Cricetulus griseus: one gene and its partners. Each later gene encodes a partner of the first gene's protein in a complex. Links are inferred from orthologs where the notes say so. Each region holds a gene or a part of one and is shown in the gene's direction. Other genes may lie near its edges. The genes, in order: Pfdn6, Polr2e, Asdurf, Pdrg1, Pfdn2, Wdr92 and Uxt.

The links.
Region 2: Pfdn6 (region 1) and Polr2e share a complex: the UniProt entries of both Homo sapiens proteins name them as parts of the PAQosome complex. The link is inferred for Cricetulus griseus from reciprocal best matches to the Homo sapiens genes PFDN6 and POLR2E.
Region 3: Pfdn6 (region 1) and Asdurf share a complex: the UniProt entries of both Homo sapiens proteins name them as parts of the PAQosome complex. The link is inferred for Cricetulus griseus from reciprocal best matches to the Homo sapiens genes PFDN6 and ASDURF.
Region 4: Pfdn6 (region 1) and Pdrg1 share a complex: the UniProt entries of both Homo sapiens proteins name them as parts of the PAQosome complex. The link is inferred for Cricetulus griseus from reciprocal best matches to the Homo sapiens genes PFDN6 and PDRG1.
Region 5: Pfdn6 (region 1) and Pfdn2 share a complex: the UniProt entries of both Homo sapiens proteins name them as parts of the PAQosome complex. The link is inferred for Cricetulus griseus from reciprocal best matches to the Homo sapiens genes PFDN6 and PFDN2.
Region 6: Pfdn6 (region 1) and Wdr92 share a complex: the UniProt entries of both Homo sapiens proteins name them as parts of the PAQosome complex. The link is inferred for Cricetulus griseus from reciprocal best matches to the Homo sapiens genes PFDN6 and DNAAF10.
Region 7: Pfdn6 (region 1) and Uxt share a complex: the UniProt entries of both Homo sapiens proteins name them as parts of the PAQosome complex. The link is inferred for Cricetulus griseus from reciprocal best matches to the Homo sapiens genes PFDN6 and UXT.

The regions. Positions count from the first base shown.
Region 1 is NW_023276806.1:232,074,549-232,077,720, forward strand, and holds Pfdn6 (prefoldin subunit 6), read left to right. Parts: upstream 1-1,167; 5' UTR 1,168-1,477; coding exon 1,478-1,541; intron 1,542-1,786; coding exon 1,787-1,857; intron 1,858-1,940; coding exon 1,941-2,065; intron 2,066-2,465; coding exon 2,466-2,589; 3' UTR 2,590-2,672; downstream 2,673-3,172. Other genes in the region: Wdr46 (WD repeat-containing protein 46), read right to left, coding at 1-57, 194-274, 365-574, 708-776. UniProt on the Homo sapiens protein: Binds specifically to cytosolic chaperonin (c-CPN) and transfers target proteins to it. Binds to nascent polypeptide chain and promotes folding in an environment in which there are many competing pathways for nonnative proteins.
Region 2 is NC_048598.1:100,836,432-100,840,492, reverse strand, and holds the start of Polr2e (DNA-directed RNA polymerases I, II, and III subunit RPABC1), read left to right. Parts: upstream 1-1,261; 5' UTR 1,262-1,363; coding exon 1,364-1,420; intron 1,421-3,034; coding exon 3,035-3,233; intron 3,234-4,061. UniProt on the Homo sapiens protein: DNA-dependent RNA polymerase catalyzes the transcription of DNA into RNA using the four ribonucleoside triphosphates as substrates.
Region 3 is NC_048595.1:402,525,087-402,529,311, forward strand, and holds the start of Asdurf (ASNSD1 upstream open reading frame protein), read left to right. Parts: upstream 1-1,425; 5' UTR 1,426-1,533; coding exon 1,534-1,623; intron 1,624-3,245; coding exon 3,246-3,299; intron 3,300-4,225.
Region 4 is NC_048599.1:26,995,208-26,999,340, forward strand, and holds the start of Pdrg1 (p53 and DNA damage-regulated protein 1), read left to right. Parts: upstream 1-1,333; 5' UTR 1,334-1,423; coding exon 1,424-1,510; intron 1,511-2,940; coding exon 2,941-3,016; intron 3,017-3,997; coding exon 3,998-4,072; intron 4,073-4,133. UniProt on the Homo sapiens protein: May play a role in chaperone-mediated protein folding.
Region 5 is NC_048598.1:21,541,739-21,544,695, reverse strand, and holds the end of Pfdn2 (prefoldin subunit 2), read left to right. Parts: intron 1-701; coding exon 702-790; intron 791-892; coding exon 893-1,016; intron 1,017-2,127; coding exon 2,128-2,304; 3' UTR 2,305-2,457; downstream 2,458-2,957. Other genes in the region: Klhdc9 (kelch domain-containing protein 9), read right to left, coding at 2,921-2,957. UniProt on the Homo sapiens protein: Binds specifically to cytosolic chaperonin (c-CPN) and transfers target proteins to it. Binds to nascent polypeptide chain and promotes folding in an environment in which there are many competing pathways for nonnative proteins.
Region 6 is NW_023276807.1:89,068,134-89,072,294, reverse strand, and holds the start of Wdr92 (WD repeat-containing protein 92), read left to right. Parts: upstream 1-1,361; 5' UTR 1,362-1,485; coding exon 1,486-1,668; intron 1,669-4,161. Other genes in the region: RNA-binding protein PNO1, read right to left, coding at 561-710, 836-1,039. UniProt on the Homo sapiens protein: Key assembly factor specifically required for the stability of axonemal dynein heavy chains in cytoplasm.
Region 7 is NC_048604.1:125,813,291-125,817,583, reverse strand, and holds the start of Uxt (protein UXT), read left to right. Parts: upstream 1-1,493; 5' UTR 1,494-1,587; exon of another isoform or gene 1,588-1,764; 5' UTR 1,765-1,774; coding exon 1,775-1,872; intron 1,873-3,644; coding exon 3,645-3,726; intron 3,727-3,864; coding exon 3,865-3,932; intron 3,933-4,200; coding exon 4,201-4,293. UniProt on the Homo sapiens protein: Involved in gene transcription regulation. Acts in concert with the corepressor URI1 to regulate androgen receptor AR-mediated transcription. Together with URI1, associates with chromatin to the NKX3-1 promoter region.

The DNA.
Region 1 (3,172 bases):
CTCCTGCGCTTCAGCCGTCTCAAGTTTGCTCCGGGTTTTCGGCTTCGAATGCGGGAGCTACGGCATGGTTGCCAAGGTTGGCGCACCGAGCGAGCATCCGTGAGGTGCCAGCAAGGCCGCCAGCAGACAAGGCGCCACCCACCTCCTCACCCAGCCTCCAGTCCCTGCCTCCCCACGGTCCCCGCGGCCTCACGGTTCTGGACTTGTCAATTCGGCAGAACTTCCGGGCGCCCTCCACGGGGGCGGGGGCGGGTCCCGGGAACGGGTCCTGGGCCTAGCGAGGGGAAGGAGACGGGCAGACTCGATGGGCCCGGTTCCTCTGGTCCTCAGAGGCGCGGGGCCACCCTGTCAGCCCCAGGCTCACCCCAGACAGGGTCCGCTGCGGCCTCCTCTTCGGGTCTGGGGCGTCCTTCGGGGCCCGCGGCTTCTGGCGGAGCCGAGACTTCTTGGCGGGGTGCGCGCTCTTTGACCTCGGGGGTCGCGGCTCCCGAGTCCTCGCCTTCTTCCGGGGCGGCCCCGGAGAGGCGCCGGCTGCGGCGGGGGTGGCCTCCTCCTCCCAGTACCGCCGCGGCTTCTAGGGGCACAGGAGGAGGCAAGGGCTCGCACCCGCCGGACCCGGAGCCCGAGCCCGATCGGAAGCCCCGAGCCCGAGCCCGATCGGAAGCCCCGAGCCCGAGGGCGGCGTTCGCCTCCACCCAAGCCGCTACCTTCCTCTTGGCCTGGGGCTTGTCCTCCTTGGGTGGGCCACCCCTGCCCGGCTTCGGAGCTGTCTCCATCGCGGCTGTGACCGACGCCAAACAACGATCCACGTGCGAAACTGCCCTCGGCAGCCCCACGGCCCTCTCAGAAACTTCCGGGCGTCCCACGGCCTTCACCCAATCACCGCCGGACGGGAGTCTGAAGCCGCCGGCGCCATCTTGAGTGAGGGCACGCCTGTGCCAGACTGAGCGGAGAGGCTCGCCCGAGGACCAAATGAGGACTAAAAGGCAAGTCTGGGCCCCGAATCCCGGTAGCGACGAGTTCCTTTTTTTCTGCCTTGCCTAATAAAACCCCTCGGGTGCAGTCTTTTCGGTAGGACGAGTTTCCCACAGGTCAGAACGCAGCTTCCGGCGCCGTCTCTGTCCCGGCATGCCTTGTCTACTTCCGGGTGCGTTTAGACAGTGGGCATAACGTGAGGAGGTTGGGGGTCTGGCTTGCGGGAGGGTTTGGGGTTCTGCTTTCGCCCCCCGCTTCCCAGGGGTGTCTCCTGGACGAGGAAGAGCTGCGGAGCCTCGAGGAGCTGCCGGCGGACGCGCAGGGCAGAGAGGGGGGCGCGGGTGCCTTCCTCTGCTCGCTCGAGTCCCCGCGAGCGCCCCGCCCCGCCCCGGAGGCTCGCCCTCCTCACACCGCCCCGGAGGCTCGCCCTCCTCACACCGCCCCGGAGGCTCGCCCTCCTCACCGCCCCGGAGGCTCGCCCTCCTCACCGCCCCGCCCCGCCATGGCCGAGCTGATCCAGAAGAAGCTGCAGGGAGAAGTGGAGAAATACCAGCAGCTGCAGAAGGGTAAGAGAGAGAGCGGAGGCGGCGTGGCCTTGCCCCGTCCGCCCTCAGCTCAGGCACACCCCACGAGACGTCGTGCTCCCTCGGGGGCCCTGCGGGCCGCCCCTGGCGTCGGGGGCCCTGCTCGTCCCCACCACCGACCGACCCAGCCTCTCCGCTGCAGACCCGGTGACGTCTCGAGCCCGTGCTGGGTGCGGTTCTCGGCCCGTCTGATGCCTTTAACCATGCGTTTCCTCTCACCACCTCAGACTTGAGCAAATCCATGTCAGGGAGGCAGAAGCTCGAGGCACAGCTAACAGAAAATAACATCGTGAAGGAGGTGAGGACCTGGGGCGCCGGGGCCGAGAGGAACGCGGCCGGGCACGGTTAGCTCATCAGCCGTCCGTCCCATCCCCTCTCCAGGAACTGGCCTTGCTGGATGGATCCAACGTGGTCTTCAAGCTCCTGGGGCCCGTGCTTGTCAAACAGGAGCTAGGGGAGGCTCGGGCCACGGTGGGGAAGAGGCTGGACTACATCACCGCCGAAATGTGAGTGCCTACCCCGTGCTGGGTAGCTCCCCATAGCGCCCCGCTCCCCTGGAACTCCCTGTGTAGACCAGGCTGGCCTCAGGGATGGGCTTAAAGGCGCCCCCGCTTAAGCCTTTCTTCCACGTTACACGAGTGTGGGGGGTGGGGGGACATGTGTCCGTGGCACACATGTGAAGTCAGAGGACGGCCTGCGGCAGCCTGCTCCTTCCTACCACGTGGGTTCTGGAGACTGAAGTGTCAGCCTCGGAGGAGAACGGTCCAACCCACTGATCCATCTCACCAGCCCTCAGTGTGCCACCCCCATCCCCCAAACCTCGGAATTCCCATCAGTCCCCCAATGCCGCGCAACAGTGAGCCCCCACTGATCTCTCTTCTGCTTGTCTCCCCTTTCCCTCCTCAGTAAGCGCTACGAATCGCAGCTGCGGGACCTTGAGAGGCAGTCAGAGCAACAGAGGGAAACCCTTGCTCAGCTGCAGCAGGAGTTCCAGCGAGCCCAGGCAGCAAAGGCTCCTGGGAAGGCCTGACCCCATGGAAGGGGGAGAGGAGGGAGGGCTGAGTCAGCTCCAGGGTCTACACTAGAATAGCCAATAAAATGTAAACAAAACCAGTGCCTTGTACACACTCTTTTTCCCTGAGATAGAGCTCTTGACACTGGAATCTCTGGCCGTGTTTCAGTGGTGGTTTTCCTGGTGCTGAGAACTAAAATCCGGGTCTTCTTGCCTATGTGCCTTCTTTTGAGTCTGAAATGTCTCAAGCTGTTTCTTGCCTGTTCATATAACCCTTTATCTTCCCTTATGTTGGCTGGTGCAACCCTGAGATGGGAAATATAACCTTAGGATGCAATGTAGTGTGTTGTTAAGTGTCAGTTTAGCCATAGAACCCAGTTCTCTAGCCTGAGAGCCCAGGATATGATGTGGTCACCCAAGAGCACTTGTCCCCAAAGGGCCCTAGATCATTAGCTTGTCTTCACCGCTGTCTTAGCATTGGTTTGAATCTAACTTGTTTGTTTTGGTTTGTTTGAGACAGGGTTTCTCTGTGTAGCTCTGGCTATCGTAGATCTCGCTCGCTCTGTAGACTAGGCTGGCCTCAAATTCAGAGATCCTCCTG
Region 2 (4,061 bases), on another chromosome or scaffold:
AACAATTCCTTTGGAGGCTGCCTCCTTTCAAACCACCACAGGAGGTAAGATCAGAGGAGGGACTCCTACAGACAGGCACTTGCATGTATCCTTACACTTTGGACTGACTCCCCTCAGTGGCACCAATTATTTTCCTAATGTCCCAGGTACTCAGGCTCTGCCCATTCATTACCACCGAGAATGAGAGAGTTGTCTGAAAGTAGTGGTTCAGGACTTTAATCCCGGTACTCAGGAGACAGAGGCAGTCAGATGGTCAGATCTCTGTGAGTTAGAGATCAGTGTGGTCTACAGACAAGTTCTGGGATAGCCAGAGCTACACAGTGAAACCCTGTCTCAAAACAAAACAAAACCAACCACCGAAAGAATGAGAGGGTTGTTGTCACCTGAAAGTTAATGACAAGGGCTCCTCCCCATACCAAAAACCAAAACAAACCCCACAAAAACCCCCAGGGTCTGGTCAGGAGCTCAGAGAGAGAGATTTGCCCACCAGAGTGCTGGGACCAAATGCACCCACCATTGCTCCCAGATCTAGATATGTTTTTCCAAAAACGTATTGTGTCTCTATCCCCTTACTCTGCGTTTGTGGCTTCTATAACCAGGGTGTCCCAGGCGCAGCCCAGTTTTGCAGCCCATGCAGTGGGTTCAGTGGTCAGACAGACTTGGTGGGGGCCTCGCTAGTTTGCTGGAAACTTGCCTTTCCAAGTCAGGGTCAGCACAGGTTCCCAGGCAGGAATTAGAGATGACCTGCGGACTCTGAGGACAAGCTCGGGCGGGACAGAATGGGAGGTATGGCGAGCATCTGGTTTTCCAGTGCTGGCCATGCTGGTACACGCCTTTAATTCTAGACTGAGACAACCTGGTTTATATATCAAATTTCAGGCCGGCCAGGGCTCACAGTGAACCACCCCACCCCCCAAAGAGGAAAAAGATACATAGACATTTCTTTTTGTTGTTGTTTTGTTTTTTGAGTCAGGGTTCCTCTGTATAACAGCCCTGGCGGTCCTGTCGCTCTGCACACCCGGCTGGTCTCGAACTCTCAGAGATCCGCCTGCCTCTGGCTCCCCAGGGCGGCGTTAAAGGCGTGGCCTACGCGCCCAGTTCCCTCTCGAGAACTCTTAAGCTGTGACGGCCAAGTATCGCGACATTTTCTCGATGGTGGTCTCGCGCAGCGGATCGCCGGGGCTGCCCGCTACGCAGCCTAAGGTGGAAGTCGCGTTTCCAGGCGGAAGACAGAACAGAGCTCGCTGAGCGGGAAGGGGAGGGCTTTCCGTTGTTCCGCGCAGACGCTTTGCGTGCGCAGGAGTGGGAGGAGCTCTTTTCGGCTTCGGCGCAGGCGCAGCGGTTCCCGGGCGACGGCGGCAGCATGGACGACGAGGAGGAGACCTACCGGCTGTGGAAGATCCGCAAGACCATCATGCAGGCGAGTGACCGGCCGGCCTCCAGCCCGCACCCTGCCTCGGGAGGGCTGCTGCGCGCTCACACCGCGCTTATGGGGGCCGGAGGGAGAGACTCGGGGTTCTCTGCGCGCTCACACCGCGCTTATGGGGACCGGAGGAGGGAAACTCTGGGTTCTCTGCGCGCTCACACCGCGTTTATGGGGGCCGGAGGGAGAGACTCGGGGTTCTCTGCGTGCTCACACCGTGTTTATGGGGGGCCGGAGGGAGAGACTCTGGGTTCTCTGCGTGCTCACACCGCGCTTATGGGGGCCGGAGGAGGGAAACTCGGGGTTCTCTGCGCGCTCACACCGCGCTTATGGGGGGCTGGAGGGAGAGACTCGGGGTTCTCTGCGCGCTCACATCGCGCTTATGGGGGCCGGAGGGAGAGACTCGGGGTTCTCTGCGCGCTCACACCGCGCTTATGGGGGGCTGGAGGGAGAAACTCGGGGTTCTCTGCGCGCTCACACCGCGCTTATGGGAGCCGGAGGGAGAGACTCGGGGTTCTCTGCGTGCTCACACCGTGTTTATGGGGGGCCGGAGGGAGAGACTCTGGGTTCTCTGCCTGCGGGGCAGCCCTCCACCCACTTAGCCCAGGCCCCAGCATCCACACGGCAGCTCACAACCATCTGTAACCCTGGTTTGAGCGGGTCTGACGCACTTTTCTCGACTGTTTCACACAGAGTGAAAAACAATATTTGAAAAAAACAAAAAACAGTTTTGCCCCGGCGTAGTGACAGAGAGAAGCCTTTAACGACAGCACTGGGGAGGCACAGGCAGGTGATCTCTGTAAGTTCGAAGCTAGCCTGATCTACATTAGCGAGTTCCAGGACAGTCAGGGCTTTGTAGAGAAGCCTTGTCTTAAGAAACCAAAATAAAGAAAAGGTAAAAATACTAATCTGGTAGCACATACCTTTCATCCCATCACTCTTGGGCCCGAGGCCAGTCAGTCTCTTGAGTTCAAGACCAGCCTGGCCTATTTGAAAGTTTGAAGTCACTCAGGGCTTCATTGTGAGACCCTGTCCCAAGAAACTTAGGTTGGCTGGGAAGTGGTGGTCCACACCTTTAATCCCAGCACTCAGAGGGCTGAGGCAGGCGGATCTCTGTGAGTTCAAGACCAACCTGTTCTACAGAGGGAGTTCTAGGACATCAGGGCTACACAGAGAAACCCTGTCTCTGAACAACAAAAGACAAAAAGAAGGAGACGAAGAGGGAAGAGACAGACCAGACCCCAGTTGAGAAAGAGGCCTGCATAGTTTTAATTTTTGCGTTGGGTGGACCCCAGGGCCTGGTCTCTCAGGCCTGCCCCTCAACCCGATGCTGGATTACACTCTACTCTTCCCTCATCACGCCTAAGACCAAACAGGAAGAGTGGGTGGGGGCACTGAGAGGTGGAAGTTGCCAGGGGATCTACCCTAGCCTGCCCAGTGAGGCTGGGGTGGGGTGGGGCCTGGTTGGGGACCAGACTGTGGCTTGGCCAGTACTGCTGGGTCACTTAAGTGCTCCTCCTCATGCTATCCCCGAGCAGCCCAGGCTGTTCAGGGATAGGTCTGGCACTGTAGTCCCGGAGTTCATGCTGAGTGTTCATTTCCTCTCTAAAGACAGGTGATTCTTTGTCTCTGCAGCTGTGTCATGACCGTGGCTACCTGGTGACCCAGGATGAGCTGGACCAGACACTTGAGGAGTTCAAGGCTCAGTTTGGGGACAAACCCAGTGAAGGAAGACCCAGGCGCACAGACCTGACAGTGCTGGTGGCCCACAACGATGATCCCACAGACCAGATGTTTGTGTTCTTCCCAGGTGAGGCCCCTTGGACCAGTAACAGAGGCCTGATTCTGGGGTCCCATAATTCTGGTGGCATTCCCCAGTCCCTGGCTCAGGTGCCAGTTAAGGTAACATGTCACAGCCCTCCCTCTGTGGTCTTCCTGCTCTCTGTCCAGCCAGTGAGGGTGGGTACCACCCAGGCCCAGCCTTGCCTGCAGGACTACTGTAGTCGCCAGCCTGCTTTTGTCCCTGCCTCCCCTGGAAACCTTCCCTTGTTTGGTTGGTGTCCATTCTCTGCCCCTTGAGTCCCAGCACCAGCTCTTGGGCCCTCTGGCTCCCATCTGCTGTGTTGTGTAGTTTCTGCCTTACAGCCCAGGCACTTCTGAAAGTGGGAGGGGTGCTATTAAAGAGCCTGAGCCCTTCTTGTGCAGCTGCCTCCTGGTCTCCCCAGACAGTCTGTTGCCTTCAATACCTTTGAGGTCCTGGGGCCTGTGAGAATTAGGGGTGCAGGGATAGGCGTGGCATCATATGCCCATAACCCCAGAACCTGGCAGACACAGACGAGGCAGGTGGTCAAGAACAGCCTGGTCTATACAGTGAGTGCTAGGACAGCTATGTAGAGCAGTGGTTCTCAACCTTCCTAATGCTGTGACCCTTTATAAAAACAGTTCCTCACGTTGTGGTGACCCCCAACCCTAACATTCCTATCTGTAATTTTGCTGTTTGGAGTCATAATGTAAATACTCATGTTTTCCTATGGTCTCAAAGGGTCAGGACCAATGGGTTGAGAACACTGATGCAAGAAGTCCCTGTCTCAAAAAGAAAAAATATACTGGGAGTGTTGAGTCTGAGATCCAGCAGTTT
Region 3 (4,225 bases), on another chromosome or scaffold:
GCCGTCTGACTGGACTCAGCATCTGCCCGGGATCCCTTGCCCTCTGGGGCCAGAGTACCGCAGCGTCCATGCTTCAAGTGTGGTCAGAAAGGACACTGGGCCCGGGGTTGCCCGAACCCCCATGCACCAAGCAAGCCATGTCCTAGATGCCAGGAAGTAGGCCATTGGTCAGTGGTCTGTCCCCGTGTCCCAGGTGACAAGAGGACATCAAACACAGACGGCCTTCCAGTTGATCTCTTAGCCCTGGCTATGGATGAGGACTATGAATGACAGGGCCCAGGCTCTCTTGACCCGACCACCATCATCTCTGAAAGGGAGCCCCGGGTGGACATTAAAGTATCAGGGCGGTTTATCTCTTTCCTTTTGGACACTGGTGCCACATACTCAGTCCTAAAGGAGTTTTGGGGACCCACCTCTCTGTCTCGTCTTCCTATTGTCAGGGTAGGAGGACAGCCTTACTTACCTCAGCAGACTCCACCGCTTAGCTGTATTTTTAGGGGGATTCCCCTTACTCATTCATTTTTGGTTATACCGACTTGTCCTGTGCCTTTACTAGGGAGGGACCTTCTAGCTAAGGTAGGAGCTTCTATTTCTTTTGCTCCCCACATTCGCCCAACTCCAGACTCGCCAGCGGCTCCCCTCCTCCTCCTCCTAGCTACTCACCCTACAGGTTCCAGTACGTCATTTCCTTTACCAGCCTCTCAGGTAGACCCCAAGGTCTACCAGAACCCTTCTGTGGCTAGACACCATCCCCCCTTGTCATTCAGTTACAGGACCCCTCTAGGTACGTTGCTCAAGTTCAGTACCCACTCCCACTCCAGAGCCTTAAGGGACTTAAACCTATTATCTCTGACCTCCTAAGGAAAAAGCTACTTCGTCCTACCTCCTCCCCCTTTAACACCCCTATACTGGCAGTAAAAAAACCTAATGGGACTTTTTGTCTGGTTCAGGACCTCCGTAACTCTATGGTAGTGCCCCTCCATCCTGTGGTTCCTAACCCTTACACACTCCTCTCTACTATCCCCCCGACATCTCACTTCTCAGTTTTAGACCTTAAGGATGCCTTTTTCTCTATACCCCTCCACACCTGGTCTCAAAATATCTTTGCTTTCACCTGGACTGATCCAGATACTCATGTCTCCACTCAGCTCACCTGAACCTTTTAATAATAATAATAATAATAATAATTATTATTATTATTATTATTATTATTATTATTATTATTATTATTATACATCGGATCCGCTAGGGGACGACACAGAGCCTTCATAAACTCCGCAACCAGGCAATTGTGCCTTTAGTTCAAACCAGTTTGCGCATGCCCATAACTATGTCTAGTCTCCCACCCATACTCCCCCAACCGCCCTCTACTGCGCAGGGGTGAGTGTGCGTACTCCATTGGTCGGGATGCCGGAAGGGGCGGGTCCACTGAGAGCTCGCACGCCGGATCAGGGCTTCCTGTCCTCGGTTCCGTCCCGGCGGCTCACCGGCGTGCATCCCCGTGGGCTCACCGGCGTGCGACCCGGCGTGGAGATGCCCCGAAGTGGGGTACGAGCAGACTATCGCGCCGCGCCGGTGCCCCCCTACAAGTCGGATGCACGCACGGAGGCCCTTAACAGCAAGGTGCGGTGGGTGGCCGGGGAGCGCCTTCCGGCTGGGGTTCCCGGCGGCGCCCGGCAGCCCGGCGGCGTGCTCCTCGCTTCCGTAGTCGGTTCTTGGCACCCGCCTCAGGCTGCCCCTCCTTCCTGCAGACTTGCAGAGAGGGAGGCACAGAAGCTTGTCCCCCAAAAAGGGGGGGGGGGAGAGACACTGGCGGAGGTTTGGTGGGGCTGTCCCCTTACCGTCCCCCTTCCCTTCACGCGGATCTGTTGCTCTGTGGATCTGCTTCACCCTGTTAGCTACGCACCCGCCTGGGGGCCATCCTTGACATCCATCCCGAAAGTTTAGAAATCTGCCAGTGTCCTTCCAGACGCTGTCACTGGCTGTTCTGACTCAGGGTGTCCCCAGCTGCCTGTGTCCTCCACTGTGATCCTAAAATACATTTATCTGATGGTCTCTAAGTAGGACTCTTGCAAGTTAATCTTTGTCTGCCTCCCTCCCCTTTTCTCTTCCTTCCTTCCTTCCTTTCTTCCTTCCTTCCTTCCTTCCTTCCTTCCTTCCTTCCTTCCTTCCTTCCTCCCTCTCTCCCTCCCTCCCTTTCTTCCTTCCTTTCTTCCTTCCTGAGCTTTCGTGTCTCTCAGGCCAGGCGCAAACACTGTTGTTTGAGAGGGGAGCATGACCTTATTCTCTTGCCTGACAGCCATGATTTCAGGGTTGCACCACCTTGCTGAACTATACCATTAATCTTAACTTCCAATTACAGACAGTCTTTAAACATGTATAGTGGAGAGTATTAAACGTTTTAAATTCTACATTTTTTTTTTTCTGTCCCAAGTGACATCTTGGGTTAGTGACCTTATTCCCACTGTATCACAGTTTTCTTTGGTGTCAGCTAAAGTGAGATGTCTACCTGTCTTTCCTAAAATGAACATAAAACACCATACAAGCAGACTTGAGTCTCAAGGAAGATGAACTCGTGTGGCTTTGTAGTTCATCACTATAACTCTCACCTCTGCCATCGTGGAGACATAAGGATGCATACTCACTAGGGCGGGTGTGAGTTTTAAAAAAGACCTTGCTTCTTATTACTGTGTGTGATGGTGTGTGGTTACTTAAATTAGTTATTGCCTAGTTAGGCATTCATTTGATGGTCACAAACAAGCCTAGCTTAATGATAACAGCAGTATGCAGTCTTTGCCATGCAAACAGAATGATGCAAAGATGAAAAATGATGCTGTATCTCCCCAGGTAGGGCATCCAATACTATTTATCTGAATGTCTGGCTATCATCTAGTACATACATGAAAAGTAATTGTTGTTGGGGAAGGGGAGAAACACATTCATTTTCTTTTTTTAAAAAGTGTACAACAAAACTTTATAAAACTAATTAAAGGGTGGGTATTGATTTTGGTGAACAGTGGCTCACTTTGGTTAAGGTATAAGCCATGTGGTAACTGGCAGCTGGCAAGTCTAAGTCAGCTTTTCCTTCTCCAGCTGTTTTCCACGGAGTCCAGCTGGGTGTTGTTGCCCTGTAGAGTGTCCATTTAGACAGGTGGTATGTGACAGCCCCCAGTCCCATTATTCAGAATTTCCTCACCAAACATACTTTGAAAACGTCTACTTTAGGTTTTTCTTTATTTTAATAGATTAAAGAACAAAAAATTCTTGTGGATGAACTTTCTAACCTGAAGAAGAATCGGGTAAGTTACTGTTGGAATCCGGAATAGTATACAGTATATTAAAATCAGGAATTAGATCATTTATGCTAAAATTACAAAATTCTAACATACTAATTTAAAACTAAAGTATCCTAGTTTGTTTTTCATGTTTTTCTGCATGTATCAGTAAATCTCAAAGTTGACAGGATTCTTTCCCTATTACATTTTTAACAAAAAAAGAAACAATTACTTCCTTTTCCACAGCAAACTTTAATGCTCCAAGAACTTAACCTATTTAATTCCTTTTTTATGACATGTTCATAAATAAACTGCTGTCTCATGTGTAGTTTTACTGTTAAAAAAATATATCTTAAATGAAGAAATGATTTTGTTCTCTTTCAAGCATTTTAAAATGACTGACATTTTCAACATTTCTGATATTGTCATTTATGAAATATTAGAACTAAGGCAAATTAATACAAAACTTCTGGAGACCAGATTGGCAGAATGTATAAACGCTGTATGAGACTTGACCTGGAGCTTCTTTTAGAGTAACTGATGAATAAACAAACAGTCGTGAAAACACATGGGCATTTAACTGCAGTGGCAATCTGTAATAATCATGAATTGGCATTCTATCAAATGTCTGAAGTTTGACAGCAGCAAAGAACTATAGTATTGTGCCCGTGTGGTAATATAAAGAACCTTCATTGATCAGAAAAGGTCTCCATGTTGTTTTATAAGAGTAAATTATAACCCTGTGGCTGTGGTAGCCTTTGTCACTGACAGTAACATGACATAATGGCACATACTATGCAAACAGCCCTTTCTAGGTGGCAAGTATCGAGTGGCTTTGTATCTGTTTATATTTGATAAATTGCTGTTTTGAATATTACTGAAGCTCAAAAATAAGTGATAATAGGATTGTTGAGCATCACTATGCAAATCATGTCCTGATGTTGTAAATT
Region 4 (4,133 bases), on another chromosome or scaffold:
CTGGGCTTCAGTGAGCCCCAGTTTGAGAATGTCCAAAGGCAGCTGTGCGGTGGAGCCCAGGGCCCCCACCCCCAGATCTGTGTCTGACCTATCCTGCTCCCAGCCTAAGCCTGCAGCTATAAAACTTAACAGTAATGACCCTATTTATACAAAAGAGGCCATGAAAATCAAGTGAGCCAGTGTATTAAGGACCTAAGTCGCCAGAAGTCAATAAAGGAGACTAAAAAGTGAACATCCGATCTGGGCCTTAGGGCTCAGTGAGTATGTGTTCACTCTGAAAGAATGAGGCCCTGGGTTCGAATCCCAAGCACCCACATAAATAAAAATCCAGACACGGTTGTGTGGGACTGTTACCTCAGCATTGGGTACATACACAGAGCTCACTGGCTAGCCAGCCTAGCCCAAAAGCGAACTTCTGGTTCAGTGAGAGGTTCTATTTCAAGGCAGGAAGGTGGAGAAAGACAGGAAAGCAGCTGACACCCTACTCTGGCCTCTGCATGTGTCTGCATGGACACAGGTGCCCCCACACTTACATGCATGCACCACACACACACACCCCCACACACACACAGCACATACACCCACACAAATGGCATACAGCTCAGTGGCAGAGCTGAGCGTGTGAGAGGCACTGGGTTAATTCCAGTTATATACACAGATAAGCAAAATGGCATCGGCGAGGCAAAAACTCCCAGGCCTCGCCTCTGAGCCCCCAGCTTTGCAACTGTACTCTTACTGACACTTCACTGCTCACCCTGGACAATTTCCAGCTCCTTCTGTGTGGGTCTCAGCTTGCTACTGAGGACACTGGATTCAACAAACGCAGCAGCCAGACGAGATTTAAAATGATTACTGTTTCCTTTTCATCTTCAGGAGAGAGAGAGAGTGTGTGTGTGTGTGTGGGGGGGTAATTTTTATCACCCATTATTTACAAACCAGAAGCTGAAAGTATCACCGGTTAAATATAAGTCTCCCTGCCACACTCGGTTTCTCGGCGTCGTTAAACAGGACTTAGGATTTCTGTGTCTCCAAAGCTCTTAACTCTACCACCCATAATATGTAACTATTTTCCCATCAGTGTTCGTTGTTTCCTACTGGGACGACATTTCTAAAGTCGGGATGTTTTACTCCTTGCTCCATCCAACGTGGTACACGGTGGATGCTCAACAACCCTTTGAAGGGAGAGCAAAGAAGGCAGCGCACTGGGCTGCTCCCTCAGAGACTGAAGGGGGCGCTCCTGTCCCGCTCCCAAAGCTAGACCCGCCCCTCCGGCGCCCCGCTGATGCGCATGCGCCACCCCTCTAAGGGCCCTTTTTTTTTCACTGCGCAGGCGCGCCGGAAGTCCTCAGCGCGGCGCGTGCGTGGATAGAGCAGAAGGGGCGTTGAAGCGGTGCCGAAGGTGTCTTGAGAGCTGTGTGTCGCCATGCTGTCCCCTGAAGCGGAGCGGGTGATGCGGTACCTGGTCGAAGTGGAGGAGCTGGCCGAGGCGGTGCTGTCGGACAAGCGGCAGGTGAGAGACGCGGCGGCGGCTAGCTTCGTAAGCAGGCAAGCGCGCGGGGTTCCGGAGCGAGCGCCTCCTCTGCGCTGGGCAGTAGCCTCCCTTTGACCCTGTCCCTGCGGGCCCCCCGGAACCTTACCCTCTGCATGCGGCTTCCCCGACCCCCATCGTGAGTCAGGTTGCTGAGACCCGAGCGGCATTTGGCTGGACGGTAGGGTGACGTGGAGTGGGGCGGGGGAGGCTGGAGGGCCTCGTAGACCCGAAAGGGGAGCTTGGCTCTGGATCTATGATTAAGTGGTGAGTCTCCAAAGGGAGTTCTGAGTGCTGAGAATGTTATCTTTGGATTTTGATTGATTGATAGGTTGGTTTAGACTCTAAACTTTAGAGGGACTCATGTGTCTTGGGGCTGGCCTCGAACTCACTGTGTAATCTCGGATAGCCTTGAACAGTCCGTGTTTGTCCGCCCTCCTGAGTTCTGGGATTATAGGCGTGCATGCACGGGACTTAGGTTTTAAAAGTCTTCTCTAGCTGCTAACTAGTGTGCAAAGAACCATTGAGATCAGTGGTTCTCAACCTTCTAATGCTGCAACCCTTTAATACAGTTCATGTTATGGGTACCCCCCCCAATAAAGTAATTTTCGTTGCTACTTCATAGTTGTAATTTTTTTTGGGGGGGGGAGACAGGGTTTCTCTTTGTAGCTTTGTAAACCAGGTTGGCCTCAAACTCACCAGAGATCCGCCTGCCTCTGCCTCCTGAGTGCTGGGATTAAAGGCATGTGCCACCACCTCCCGGAACCATAGTTGTAATTTTGCTGCTGTTATGAATTGCAATGTTTTGCAGTGATCTTGGGTGACTCCTGTGAAAGGGTTGTTCGACTCCAAGGGTCAAGACCCACAGGCTGAGAACCACGAATTTAGTTATCCAGATCTGGATTTGGACCAGATGTTAGTGATGGGGTGAGAAATATACTTTGGAAATGGTCTCCAAAAGCTGCCATAGTTACTCCTGTGGTCTATAGTGAGAAGGCCTCTGTGGTTCACAAGCAGCAGGATTCCTGTGGACTCCAGCCCCAGAGTCATTGCCTGAGTAGCTGTCATGGTGGTGTACGTCCATGTCTGGGGAGACTGTTAGATTTTCCTACAATAGCCTGTCAACAATAACTGCCCAGGGGAGACACTAAACTCTCTGATGACCCTGGTACATGCTCAGGTTTGAATTGGGCTGTGCAAATGATTCCTAATTGGTAAACTTTTTCCTAGCACCTGCTCTGGAGGAAGGAGGCTCCTGTACAGGCCGAGGGGCTGGCAACTGAGTGGGTAAAGAAACACGCTCATGCTTCAGTCCATGTTAACCAAGACATTGGCCTCCAGCCAGGAAGGATTCCTTGTCTCTTCAGGTTGGGGCGGGAGGCAGCTGAGTTCCTATCTGCTTCTGTTTTCAGATTGTAGACCTGGATACCAAGAGGAATCAGAACCGAGAGGGCCTGAGGGCCCTACAGAAGGACCTGAGCGTCTCTGGTAAGTTGTAACATCCTCACTGAAGCCCTGGAAACTGATGCAGTTCTCCTGTGAAGGCCTTTGTTGTCCCTGCTAGAGAGCAGGCAGGAGGCTGGGACTGTGTGACTCAGCCTCACAGGAAACGAAAACAGCTTGTGGGGAAGAGCGGGCAAACGTTGCAGGTCAGACATATGCTGTGATTCAGGATCTGAGCTGCTCACTTCAGTGACAGGCCATTAGCTTATCACTCATCAATGGCACACAGCACTTAGAAGCAATAATAGATCTGCCCTTATGTTCCACATGAGGAAAAGCAGTGTAAACATACAACTGAAAATTGTGGAAAGCTAAAGATGGAGTTGGCCATGAGTGGATGTTGAGACTGTCTAGGAGGGAGGAGATGGGGCTCTTTAGATGAGCCAGGTGGCTGTGACTTTGGCAGTGTGAGCAAGTGGGGGACAACCTGAAGCAGTTCTGGAAGGATGGGCAGCATTCAGGGCATAATGAAGGGCACTGACGTCCATTCCACTGGCTGCTTATCTCACCGGAGTAAAACCCAGAGTTGTCCTGCAGGATTGATTCCACATGACCCCGCCCCACACACTCCACCATGTTAGCCCCCACTTTCTCACCCACTCATTGACCCACTGGTCTCTTGGTTGTTCTGACACCAAAACACTGCCAGTTCTGGCTGTTGCCATCCCTCTGCCTGGGCTCTGCCCAGGTGTCTAGGGAAGATACCCCCCCCTTTCCTCAGTTCTCTGCCTGGATGTCACATCTGCAAAGAGCCCTTGTACCTCTCCTGATGCTTCCCATCACTTAGCACTATGTGGAAAAACAACTTGTTTATTTACTGTCTTTTGCTTTGTTATGAATTCCACAAGGGCAAGAACTTGTCTTGTTGGGCTATGTTCTTAGCATCCAAACAGTGCTTGGCAGATAGTCAGTGCTTCAAAAAGAAGAAATAAAACGTGTTGAAGTAATGTCTGTTTGCTATTTCAGAAGATGTGATGGTTTGCTTTGGGAACATGTTCATCAAAATGCCTCACCCTAAGACAAAGGAAATGATCCAGAAAGGTAAGGTCTCCTGGAATGTTCAAGGACATGGTCACTTCCCTACCAGTCATTATCCAGAATT
Region 5 (2,957 bases), on another chromosome or scaffold:
CCCTTCTTTCCAGAGTTCAGTTCCCAGTGCCCACACCCAGAAGCTCACGGCTACCTGTAACTGTAAGCCGGGCGGTGGTGGCACATGCCTTTAGTCCCAGCACTCAGGAGGCAGAGGCAGGCAGATCTCTGTGAATGAGACCAGCCTGGTGTACAAGAGCTAGTTCCAGGACAGTCTCCAAAGCCACAGAGAAACCCTGTCTCAAAAACAAAAACTAAACAAAAGGCAAAGATTGAGAAGATGATGGTTTGGTGCTTGAGTACATAGGGTTCTAGAGGACCCAGGTTTGATTTTCAGCACCCATATCAGGCCTGCAACTCCAGTGCCGCAGAATCCAACCCCCTCTCTTGGTCTCTGTGTGCACAAACACACACATATCCATAGAGTTAAAAATAAAAACCTCTGGGGGGGTGGAAACTGGCAAGAAGGCTCAGGGTTAAAAGAACTTGGCTCTTGAATAGGACACAGGTTCAGTTTCCAACACCCACGTGGTGGCTTACAACCATCTGTAACTCCAGTTTCAGGGGACCCGATGCCCTCTTCTGGCCTATGGGCACACACAGTACACGTACATATAGACTTGCAGGCATAACACTCATAAACATAGAATAAATGAATACATGGGGGGAATAAAAAATCTACCTTGCCATTCTGGCATTTTCACTGTCTCATCTCTCATCTTTTCTCTCTCATGCTCCTAGGTAATTGCTGGCTTTAATCGCCTTCGGCAGGAACAGAGGGGCTTGGCATCCAAAGCTGCTGAGCTAGAGATGGAATTGAATGAACACAGGTAAGACAGTCAGAGAAACAATAGAACAATTGGATGGACCTTTTTGAGGGAGGGTTGCAGTAGAGTGGTGCTGAATTTTGGGGTCTTGTTCTCCTACCCTAGCCTAGTGATTGATACCCTGAAGGAAGTGGATGAGACCCGCAGGTGCTACCGGATGGTTGGCGGCGTGCTGGTAGAGCGGACTGTCAAAGAGGTGCTGCCTGCCTTGGAAGGCAACAAAGAGCAGGTGAGCAAGGATTCCCCAGGAGGAGTTTGGGCAACCAAGAGGTTAAACGGGGGTGACCAGAGATTTAGGGAATGTGAGGGAGGAAAGTCCGGGCAGAAATTCATGTTGAAGATAGTCTACAGTCTGTTAGTCTGTGCACTTTATACGTTTACAGAGTCCCAACTCCTTCCATGAGGAGCTGTTGGCTGTGTGCCCTTTCCATAGTCTCTTTGATGTGGTTGAGCTGGGAGGAGGGTGGGTAGAGCAGTGTTTCTCACAGTGTAGTCCATGGATACCTGAACCAAAATCACCTGAAGAACTAGTTTTAACAGTGCTGCAGATCAAATCCAGGGCCTTATGAATAATGAAAGGTCTAAGAACTCTGCCACTGAGGTACACCTCCAGTCAAGAATCAGTTTAAAATGCAACTTCATAGGCTCTCTTTGGATAACTGAACCAGGCCTTTAAAGATACCATGAGTGACATTTTAAAAGGAGAAAGAGTACTGACTGGGTGGCATACATTGGTGATTAACTTGCTATGATGAGTCAGGGGAATCTTGGGTTTGAAGCCAGCCCCAGCTAGCTATAAATCAGTGCTTAAAAAAAAAAAAAATGTGACCTAAGAGAAGAAACCATAGTATGATGAATGATATTTTAAAAATAAGCAGCTCACCCTCCCTGGGGAGCTGTTGAAATTAAAGGTTGCTGGAGGGGAGGGGGGTCATTGTGTTCGGTGATACAGCCCCTGGTAAGTTGCTCATCCTCGGGTAGATAGCTCCAGCAGACCCATGCCCACAAGGATGGTCCTGGTTAAACACAGTGGGTCACAAAACAAGACAGAGATATGATTATGAGATGGGGGACTCACGGTAGAGGTGGACGAAACAGTGGTTAGAATATATTATATACATTTATGAAATTGTCGAAGAATAAATAACATAAGTAGCTCAGATGATTCCCTTGTATAAGACACTATGTTTGAGAAATCACATAAGAGTCTGGGCTTTCTTGATTCTTGGCTAAAGGTGAGATTGGTATTATCTTGTTTCACTTCCTCTAATCATAGTCCATTCCAGGTCAGGGAAGGGAGACGTGCAATCCTTCTATAACCTCTTTTCCTTACCTTCTAGATACAGAAGATCATCGAGACACTGTCACAGCAGCTTCAGGCAAAGGGGAAAGAACTCAATGAATTTCGGGAAAAGCACAACATTCGTCTTATGGGGGAAGATGAGAAGCCAGCAGCCAAGGAAAACTCAGAAGGGGCTGGGGCGAAGTCCAGCTCAGCAGGAGTGCTGGTCTCTTAGGAACTAAAGCCTCTGAATTTTTTTTTTTTTAACCCTGATTCCCACTTCTAATTTCTTTTTATTGTTGTTATTATTATTATTATTATTATTTTCTCTGCTATTGTGCTATTGTAATATTTTTTTGTTAATTAAATGTTTTGGTCAGAATGCTTAGCAGTAGCCTGAAACTTTCTCTCATTTAGGGCCGGCCACATTGAGGGCAAAAGATAGCATACAGCTGGGCATGGCGGCACCCATGCCCTAATTTTAGTGCTTGGAATACAACAGGAGGCAGATCTGAGTTCCAGGCCAGCCTGGTCTACATAATGAGTCCCAGGCCATCCAAGGCTACATATAGTGAGTCCATGTTTCAAATAAAACAAAAAATAATATATGATTTGCAGGTTTTGTTTCTGCCAGGTCAATGGCTCCCAGTATCAGAAATGCTTATACTTTGGCCTTTCCCTTGCAAGTAAAGGTGTCTACTTATTAAGTGCCCTCCTAAAAAGGATTCAGAGACAAAATGTTGATTCTCAGATTGGAATTTAATAAGTATTTGAAGTGGGGCAGGAGCTCTGACGAGAACGCTGTGTGGGTTTGCCGAAACAGGCTTGGCCATGTGCCTTTCTGACGTTCTTTAGACGAAGAGTTCCAGGATGCAAACCTGTGGGCTA
Region 6 (4,161 bases), on another chromosome or scaffold:
AAAGCCACCAAAAGTACCAGCAGGGGGAAAATGGGGAGAAACAATCACGACTCGGTCTCCTACTCAAAAGGCAGGCTCAATCACGCATCTGTCTTTTATGCCTTTGAAATGCTGAGGATGATAGAATATCAAAACAGAAGAAGCACTGTGACCTGGGAAAACTAATTTGGCACAGGCGATATACTAAAGAAAGAAGTGATTTAATGAGAGAAAAATACATTAGTAACACATATTTCCTCCAAAAAGAGTATCACTAAAATTTACAGTACTTATACTGTGATTGGTACCTGCAATTACCACCTATTAATGTACATCCATGTAACACTTCCCACCTCTCATCAATTCAACACGCATTACAGAAGACAGTCACAGGATAAACTATATACTGGTGTGATCTCAGAGCCAAATTTAGCAGTGCAGCCAACGCCTGTGTTGAATACTATAACCATGAAGAAAACCACTTCCTAGCATAAGCTCTATGCAGGAAAATGCATTCATTTTATTTTCAGTTCTGAAGGAGAAAACTCGGTAGGCTGAGAAATGACTACCCTTCTGCTTACCCTGATTTCCACATTCCTTGACTTCAGGTTAAAGCGTATCTGAAGTCCCAAATGTTCTACTATCGGAGTAAATATCTTCATCCAGTTTTCTTTTAATGGCGTGTATCTGTTCGCGGGGACCGGGATTTTTCTCGTCTCTTCTTTCCCAGTCTGCAACAAAGCACACACACACACATATTCAGGAGGTGGCTGGAGACTTGCCGGCTGAGACTTCAAACCAGAAGGGATCCTTCATCCGGACGCCCGGCCCCACCCCGTCCCGCCTCGGTCCCCACCAGGAGCCGCTCGCCCGAGAGCGGAGGGAAGATCGGCCTCTTCGCCGGCAGGGCCTCCTCCGTGTCCATGCGGCTGGCGTCTCCGTCCTGTCCCGCCGCTGACAGCTGCTCCGCCTGTCGCTTCTTCGCCCGCCGGCCCCCTCTGTGTGTGACGGGAGTAAAGCCGTCCTCCGCCCCGGTGTTCTGCGTTTCCATCTCGGCCATGCTCGAACCAAGTGGGCACAACCGGCTGAACACGCGCGTGGTAATACTGCACACGCGCAAGCCTCCGCCAATCAACGTGAGGGCACCGCCCTTTTCTGAGGTGGGGCCCAAGTCGGGGGCCTCAGGCGGGATTGGTCCGCGTGTCTGAATGGCTGCCTTACGGTATGCCTGATTGCTTGTGTCGCCATACCGCCACGCGCTCGCAGCCGAAGCATTCTCAGCCTCTAATGTGTCTATGTGTAAACGTCGTGGTAAGGGCAGTAAGTCAGTTTGTGCCGTGTGTGGAGAAATATCCGGTGCGGCCTCGGCAGCTCATACGGCATTATCATAGGCACCCAAGCCCAACTTGCTAGAGCGTCCGGCTAGAGTGCGGCTAGGGAGGGACAAACCGCCCCTGCGATGTTTGCAGTCTGGTTTCCAGGTTAGCGTTTGTCTGCATCTGCACCATGTCCGCGTTTGAGAAGCCTCAGATCATTGTCCACATTCAAAAAGGCCTCAACTACACGGTGTTCGACTGCAAATGGGTGCCCTGCAGTGCCAAGTTCGTAACGATGGGCAACTTCGCTCGGGGCACCGGCGTTATCCAGGTGTACGAGATCCAGCGTGGGGACCTGAAACTGCTGCGGGAGGTGGGTGCAGCATCGGACTTCTGTTAGGGCGCGCGTGTTCTGGGGTCTGCATCACTCTTTGCCACAGCTTTGCTCCAACAGGGCCAGAAAGGAGGTTATAGACTGAGAAATACTTCGGACTTAAAACTTTGGCATCCCACAATCTCACTGGGGAACTAGTACCTTGGCTCACTGCCAGCCCCTTGTCCCGCCATCCTTGGTGCAGTCCGTTGCAAGGTTTCTGGGAAGTGAAGTTGAGATTTCATGTTTACGTTCGAGGACCTTTTAGGCTATTTGCAATTGTAGTCTGCTAGTACATATATGCAATACATGCAAGCAGAGTGAAGGAGGCACCGGGACACCTACGAAGTTTGTGGCGACAACTAAGTACCCCATCCTTTCTAGAACTATCACTTGAATGCCTGGTAGTCCCAGGCATGTGAAGGGCAATGTCACGGATCTTATGGAGTTTATTTACTGTTGGGGAGATAGTTAAACAGCCAAAACAAGAACGCATACATGTAAACCGAAATGCTTTTTCTAATAGACAGTTGAGCAAGAGTAAAAACAACAAATTTAGGGTGAGCAGAAACTAGGGAAAGTCAGAGTAGATCATGAGATTTCCAGAAGAAATAGGTTATGGGAAAGCTCTTTGATAGTGGTAGGAAGTAGTTTATTATCTTTTTAAAAAACCAAAAACACACACTGGAAGTGGTGGTGCACACCTTTGATCCCAGCACTCCCGGGAGGTAGAAGCTGGAGAATTTCTGTTTGAGACCCTGTCTGAACAATCACAAAACCCACTAAGAAAGATCATACACACACAAGAGGGGTAAGTAGGGACCGTTGCAAGGGCTCTAAGACATTTAACAGATTTAGTCTCCCTTTTCCTCTAAGAAAAACAGGACAAGACTGAAGGACTTTTAGGAGGATGGTACAAGACCAGATTTACAGGTTTTGTAAAAGGCTGCCAGTGAGCCAATTACAAAAGGATGAAAATAATTAACATTTCATTTTCTTTCTTTTTGAGATGAGTATTCTCTGTGTTATCCAGTCGGCCTCAAATTCACAAATCTCATGCCAGCCCCCAACAGTGGTCTGGGATTACAGGCCATTTGCTATGTTGCTGAGCTTTGGCTAACAGTTTTATAGTTTTAAAAAATTTTTAATTTGGATTGACTTAAAACAAATGACAAGTCTCATGAGATGTTGAGGGTTGGTAAGTATGCAAATAGTTGGCTTGAAGGAGGTGAGTTTAGGGCAGGTAACGGATAAATAAACTTTCATGAGAAGATATGTGAAGTGCCATCTCTCACTGAGCTTTGCTGACAGCCCGTTTTCAAGTTTAGTTCCTACTCTAGCCAGGTATTCAGCTTGGAGAATCTAAACATGGCTTGGTCTTTTCTCCCTTGCTTGTGTTCATCACTTAACTCACAGACACCTGTTGCTGTTCCAGCGGCCAGCTCAGAGTCTCTGATCTGCACTCCTATAATACTTTCCTTTTGTGCCAGAAATAAGCAAACTGTCTGATCTGTTGATTCTAAGTTGGACAACAAGGACAATGTCTCCTAGTGATTTGTAAGGACCAGCCACTCAATGCACAGTTATTAAAAGAATCGGAAATGAATGAACTTGGGAGTTTTAAATACTGGTGTAGGTTAAGGACTCTGGACATGGGAAACATTGGCATAACAGAAACTTTGAAGTGGAATGTTAGGAGCAAATGCCAGTCAGTACTCAGCCAGAAGCATCTAGAGACTGTGTTTTGTTTTCCCAAGAATTATGATACATTTTAAAAAAAATTTTGCAGGTTATTTATTATGCCCATTGATGTTTTGCCATGGTTGTTGGGTTCCCTGGAACTGGAATTACAGACAGTTGTGAGCTGCCATGTGGGTGCTGGGGATTAAACCTGGATCCTTTGGAAGAACAGTCTGTGCTCTTAACCACTGAGCTCTCTCTCCAGCCCCAAATTATGATACATGTATACATTTCAGTAATGGTTATTCCAAATGAAATAGTGTTCTCCTCTTCTAATTTCTGAAGAATTCTAGCAAGATTATATTGTATTTTCTTTAAATAAAAGTAATAAGTATTTATAAGAGAACATTTAGAAAATATAGGTAGGGCTAAAAAAGAGAGTATCACACATGATCTGAACCCCAGGAGTAACAACTACTGTTTTGGATGCTCTTCATTCCATGAGTTACTGAGGCTCCTATAGAGGTGCTGTATCAAAACAGAACCACAGGTATTTGAACAGTTCCTTCTAAAAAGCAAGCAAAACCTTAGAAACAAGGTGCCTTTCAGAACTTAATATTGTATTTGGGTGCAGCAGAAAAACATGCAGGTTAAATGCATGGACTGTGGCTCTCCTGTGTCCATATTTGGTTGCTAGTGACAGCTATGTAAGTTTTAAAATATCCATGTCTTGTTCCAACCCCTAGCAATGTGAACTTCTGCTGGTTGAGTTTTGTGAGTGCCAGAGCTGAGAACTGTTGGACCCAGTGGATT
Region 7 (4,293 bases), on another chromosome or scaffold:
GAAATGCATTCTAGATAGAGGTAAGTGTTCTAGGACCTTCAAAAGGGAAAAACATTTAGGGGAGTCTAGCATCTAGGTTATCCTCCAGGCTCAGCCCTTCACTTGCTAAACATTTAAATAAAAATAGAGAGAATTATTCACTCTTAACTACAAGTTAGCCCATCTTCAGTAGAGGACTCCAATGATGGACCATATAACTATGATGTGGGGTGATTAAGCACAGCATTTTGCCAGTCTCTGCCTAAGTCTGGATCATGGAATGCAAGCAACCAAGCAGAAGTCATCCAAGAACTTCTTAAAATTTGTGTCTGTTTAAATATTTTTTATGTGCTCCTGCCCATTCCTTTTACGGAGGATGAAACCCAAAACCATGTGTGTGAAATATACGTGTATGTTTTGGGGTTTTTTGTTTTGGTTTGGTTTGGTTTGGTTTGGTTTGGTTTTGGTTTTTCGAGACAGGGTTTCTCTGTGTAGCTTTGGAGCCTATCCTGGCACTGGCTCTGGAGACCAGGCTGGCCTCGAACTCACAGAGATCCGCCTGCCTCTGCCTCCCAAGTGCTGGGATTTAAGGCGTGCACCACCAACGCCCGGCGTATGTGTTTATAAAATAAGCAATATTCAAATTTACCAATTGCCACAGGATATACTGCCCTCTTTATAGATTAGTACCATAATCCTTACTAGTCTATAGGCAATCTTGTGCTTTTTAAATTATCAAATGCTTATGTGAACTCAGTGAGGTTTGTTTGTTTGTTTGTTTTGCTAAAGAGGACTTGAAGGTGGAAGGGAAATGAGGTAGGAGGGGTCTGGGTGGAGTTGGAAGGAGGGAGTAGGGAGTGGATATGGCAAAAATACATTGCATACATGTTATGAAATTCTCAAAGAATAGAAATGATTTTAAAAGAAAAAAAAAAAGGTGGGGACTACATAGATGGATCTATGGTTAACAGCACTGGCTATTCTTGTAGACGCCCCAGGTTCGATTCCCAATGCTCACAAATATTCAGTAGCTCCAGCTCCAGGGGATCCGACGCCCTCTTTTAGCCTCCACGGGAACTGCACGTACATAGTGCACACGCATGCAGACAAAAAAGATAAAATAAGAAAAAAAAAACAATTAAGACCGGCGAGAAGGCTACAGAAATGGTTCGGCATTTAAGAGCACAAAAGGTTCTTGCAGGGGATGTGAACTCCGTTACTACCACCCACATCATGGGAGCTCACAACTGCATTTAACTCCAGTACCGCTGCCGCGCTCGCTCAAACATGCGCGCGCGATTCAAACAAGCTGTAAACGATTTACTCCCTCTCCCTACCTTCCTGTGCGTCCAACCTCCCTCAGAACCCGGCAAAGCTCATTAGACTTCACCCGAAACAGCTACCCGCGGCTGTCAACCACTAGCCGGCTAGCAGACAGCCCGCCCTCTGACTTCCTAGTATTCTCCAGGGTTTCCTTAAGATCCCGCCTCAGCGCTCCACTTTCAGGCGGTCTCCTCTCATTCTGGACCGCCCCTCCATGCTGGAAACACGTCATCCACCCGCGCCACCCGGAAACCGCGGTTCATTCTAACCTTAGGTGGCCCTAAGGTAAGCACGGCGCTTGGGTACCGGTGAGTGACTGCGTGTTAGAGTCGGGTTGGGCAGAAGGAGGAACCCCGTAGCATGAGCCGAAAGAAGTCATACCCAACGTTAAGAGGTTGGAGAGAACTTTGTGAAGTTAAACAGGAGCACTCAACGTGGTTTTTCTCCCTCCTCACTCCCCAGGAAGCCTATCATGGCGACACCCCCGAAACGGCGGGCCTTGGATACTGTAGGAGAGAAAGTGCTGCGGTACGAGGCCTTTATCAGTGACGTACTGCAGCGAGACTTGCAGTGAGTGACAACGCAGATTCTAGGCGTGACATTTGAGAAATTCCACGTGGTGGGTGGGACAGAATCCCGGGAAAACTTTCGGATTGGCCGGGAAGAGGGGTTGACGTCCGGGCTGCGATTTGGTTGGAACTTGGCCCTTGTAGTGGAGCCTCTGGCGTCGTTCGTCGGATTAAAATAGTCATAAAAACCCACGACATTTCTGACTGGGCCATTTAGCCATTACTTATGAAAAAGTTGTACATCACCTCTCCTCTCTGTGCTTTATAAACTTTGCTCATCTGTGGAATGGGAAAGTTTATGGAGCCTTCTTAATGTGGTGGTTTTGAGTTTTAAATGTGTCTACCCAGGTAAAGAATGTAACCCAAAGCCTAGACTGATAACACAGGACTGTAATTCCAGCACGAAGGAGGCAGAAGCAAGAGGATCTTCGAAGTTGGAGACCAGCCTGGAATATAAACTTGACTGTCTCTAAAAGGGGGAAAAAATTAGAATGAAGCCAGGCTCAGGCTCTGTGGTGCATGTCAGTAGTCCTATCTAGTGGAGAGGTGGAAAAATTCATTTCTTTAGCCAGGATGTTCAAGCCAGCCTTAACAGTAGAACATGGTTTTGATAAAATAAAGCCCAGTGTTGTGACACAGGCTTGTAATCCCTGTACTTGGGATGGGTGAATCAGGACGATCCAGAGCTCAAGATCATCCTCAGCTATATTTCAAAGATGAGTACAGCCTAGGCTCTGAGACTGTGTCTCAAAAAAAGAAGACAATGGAGCCAGCAAGATGGATTGCCTTGCTTCCATGTCCTGAGCTAGCTCTCTGGGATCCACATAGTGAAAACAAAAAAACTCCCAAAAGCTGTCCTATGACTCACATGGGTGTACCACGGCACCCATACATGTACACAAAATAAATACATTAAGTAAGAATACTTTTTAAAACTTTACATAAACCCAACTATACTACAGTTGTATTAAGGCTGAGAGGAAAGAACTGTCTTGTGTACTCACAAGTAGCCTGGGAAACTCAGTTCTTGTCTCAGAAAATAAAAAACAAATAACCTGGATAGTTTTGAAAAGGAATTTAGCTCCGGTGGATGAAACATACTAAAAACTCAATAATTAGATGATTAGTATTGCTGTCATTATTAATGTGAACAGAAAGTTTGGAACTAGAGCAGTGTGAGCATGGAAGGTATGTGTAGGGTGAAGATGGAGCATTTTAATTGGCATAAGGCACTGAGTACAATGCAGTATTTGTAATAGTGATGGATAGAAAGGATACAGTGTTTACCATTTGGCTGGCATTTTATAGTAAACACTTGAGTCTAATGGTTCCTATGAGGTAATACTGTCATCTCTATTTTATATGTTGTGAAACTAAGTCCCAAATAGGTTTCCTAATGCCAAAGTCACATTGCTAGTAAGAGTTAGAGCTCAGGATGAAATACAGTCTGACTTGTATTTATTGAAATACTTGGTGTGTCTTTCTCTGTCTATACTATGCGCTCGCTCGCTCTCATGTCTCCGTGTGTGTGTGTGTGTGTGTGTGTGTGTGTGTGTGTGTGTGTGTGTGTGTGTGTGTGTGTGTAACACAGGATCTCACTATGTAACCCAGGCTGGTCTTGAACTCATAATCTTCCTGCCTCAGTCTTTCAATTACTGGGATTACACTCGTGAACTACCATAATTGGCTTAAAATGCCTTTTAGGCCATGATGTGAGATATCTCAAGAGGAATAGGGCTGCCTAATGATCACTCTTCTATTTCCACGTATCAGAAAGGTGCTGGATCATCGAGACAAGGTATATGAGCAGCTGTCTGTATACCTTCAACTGAGAAATGTAATTGAGCGACTCCAGGTAAAGGCTTTTAAATTGGGTATCAGTTTGTATATGTGTACAAAGAAGGAAGATGGGAAGAGAAACCCCAAAACAAAACCTTTTTCCTGCCTTAAAAATTGGCCACTGACACCTACTTCTTTTCTCCTGGCCCTACAGGAAACTAAGCACTCGGAGTTATATATGCAGGTGGATTTGGGCTGTAACTTCTTCGTTGACACAATGGTGTGAGTGTATTCCCTCCCCTCCGAGTTTCTTCCTTCTTTCATGCAACAAGTATTTCTTAATATGTTCTATATACCAGACTCTGGTCACTTTTATATTGCACTAGGATGTAAGCTACATGCTGTGGGTGTGAAGTGAATGAACATGAAATACCGGCCCTTACAGAGCCTTAACTTTAGGGAACTGGAGGGAATAGGAAACACCTTCAACTATACAATGTGCTAAATGGTAATAAAGACTTCCTCCACTTCCTCTGACTTCTTTCCTCAGCCCAGATACTTCCCGCATCTATGTGGCCTTGGGATATGGTTTTTTCCTGGAGTTGACACTGGCTGAAGCTCTCAAGTTCATTGACCGAAAGAG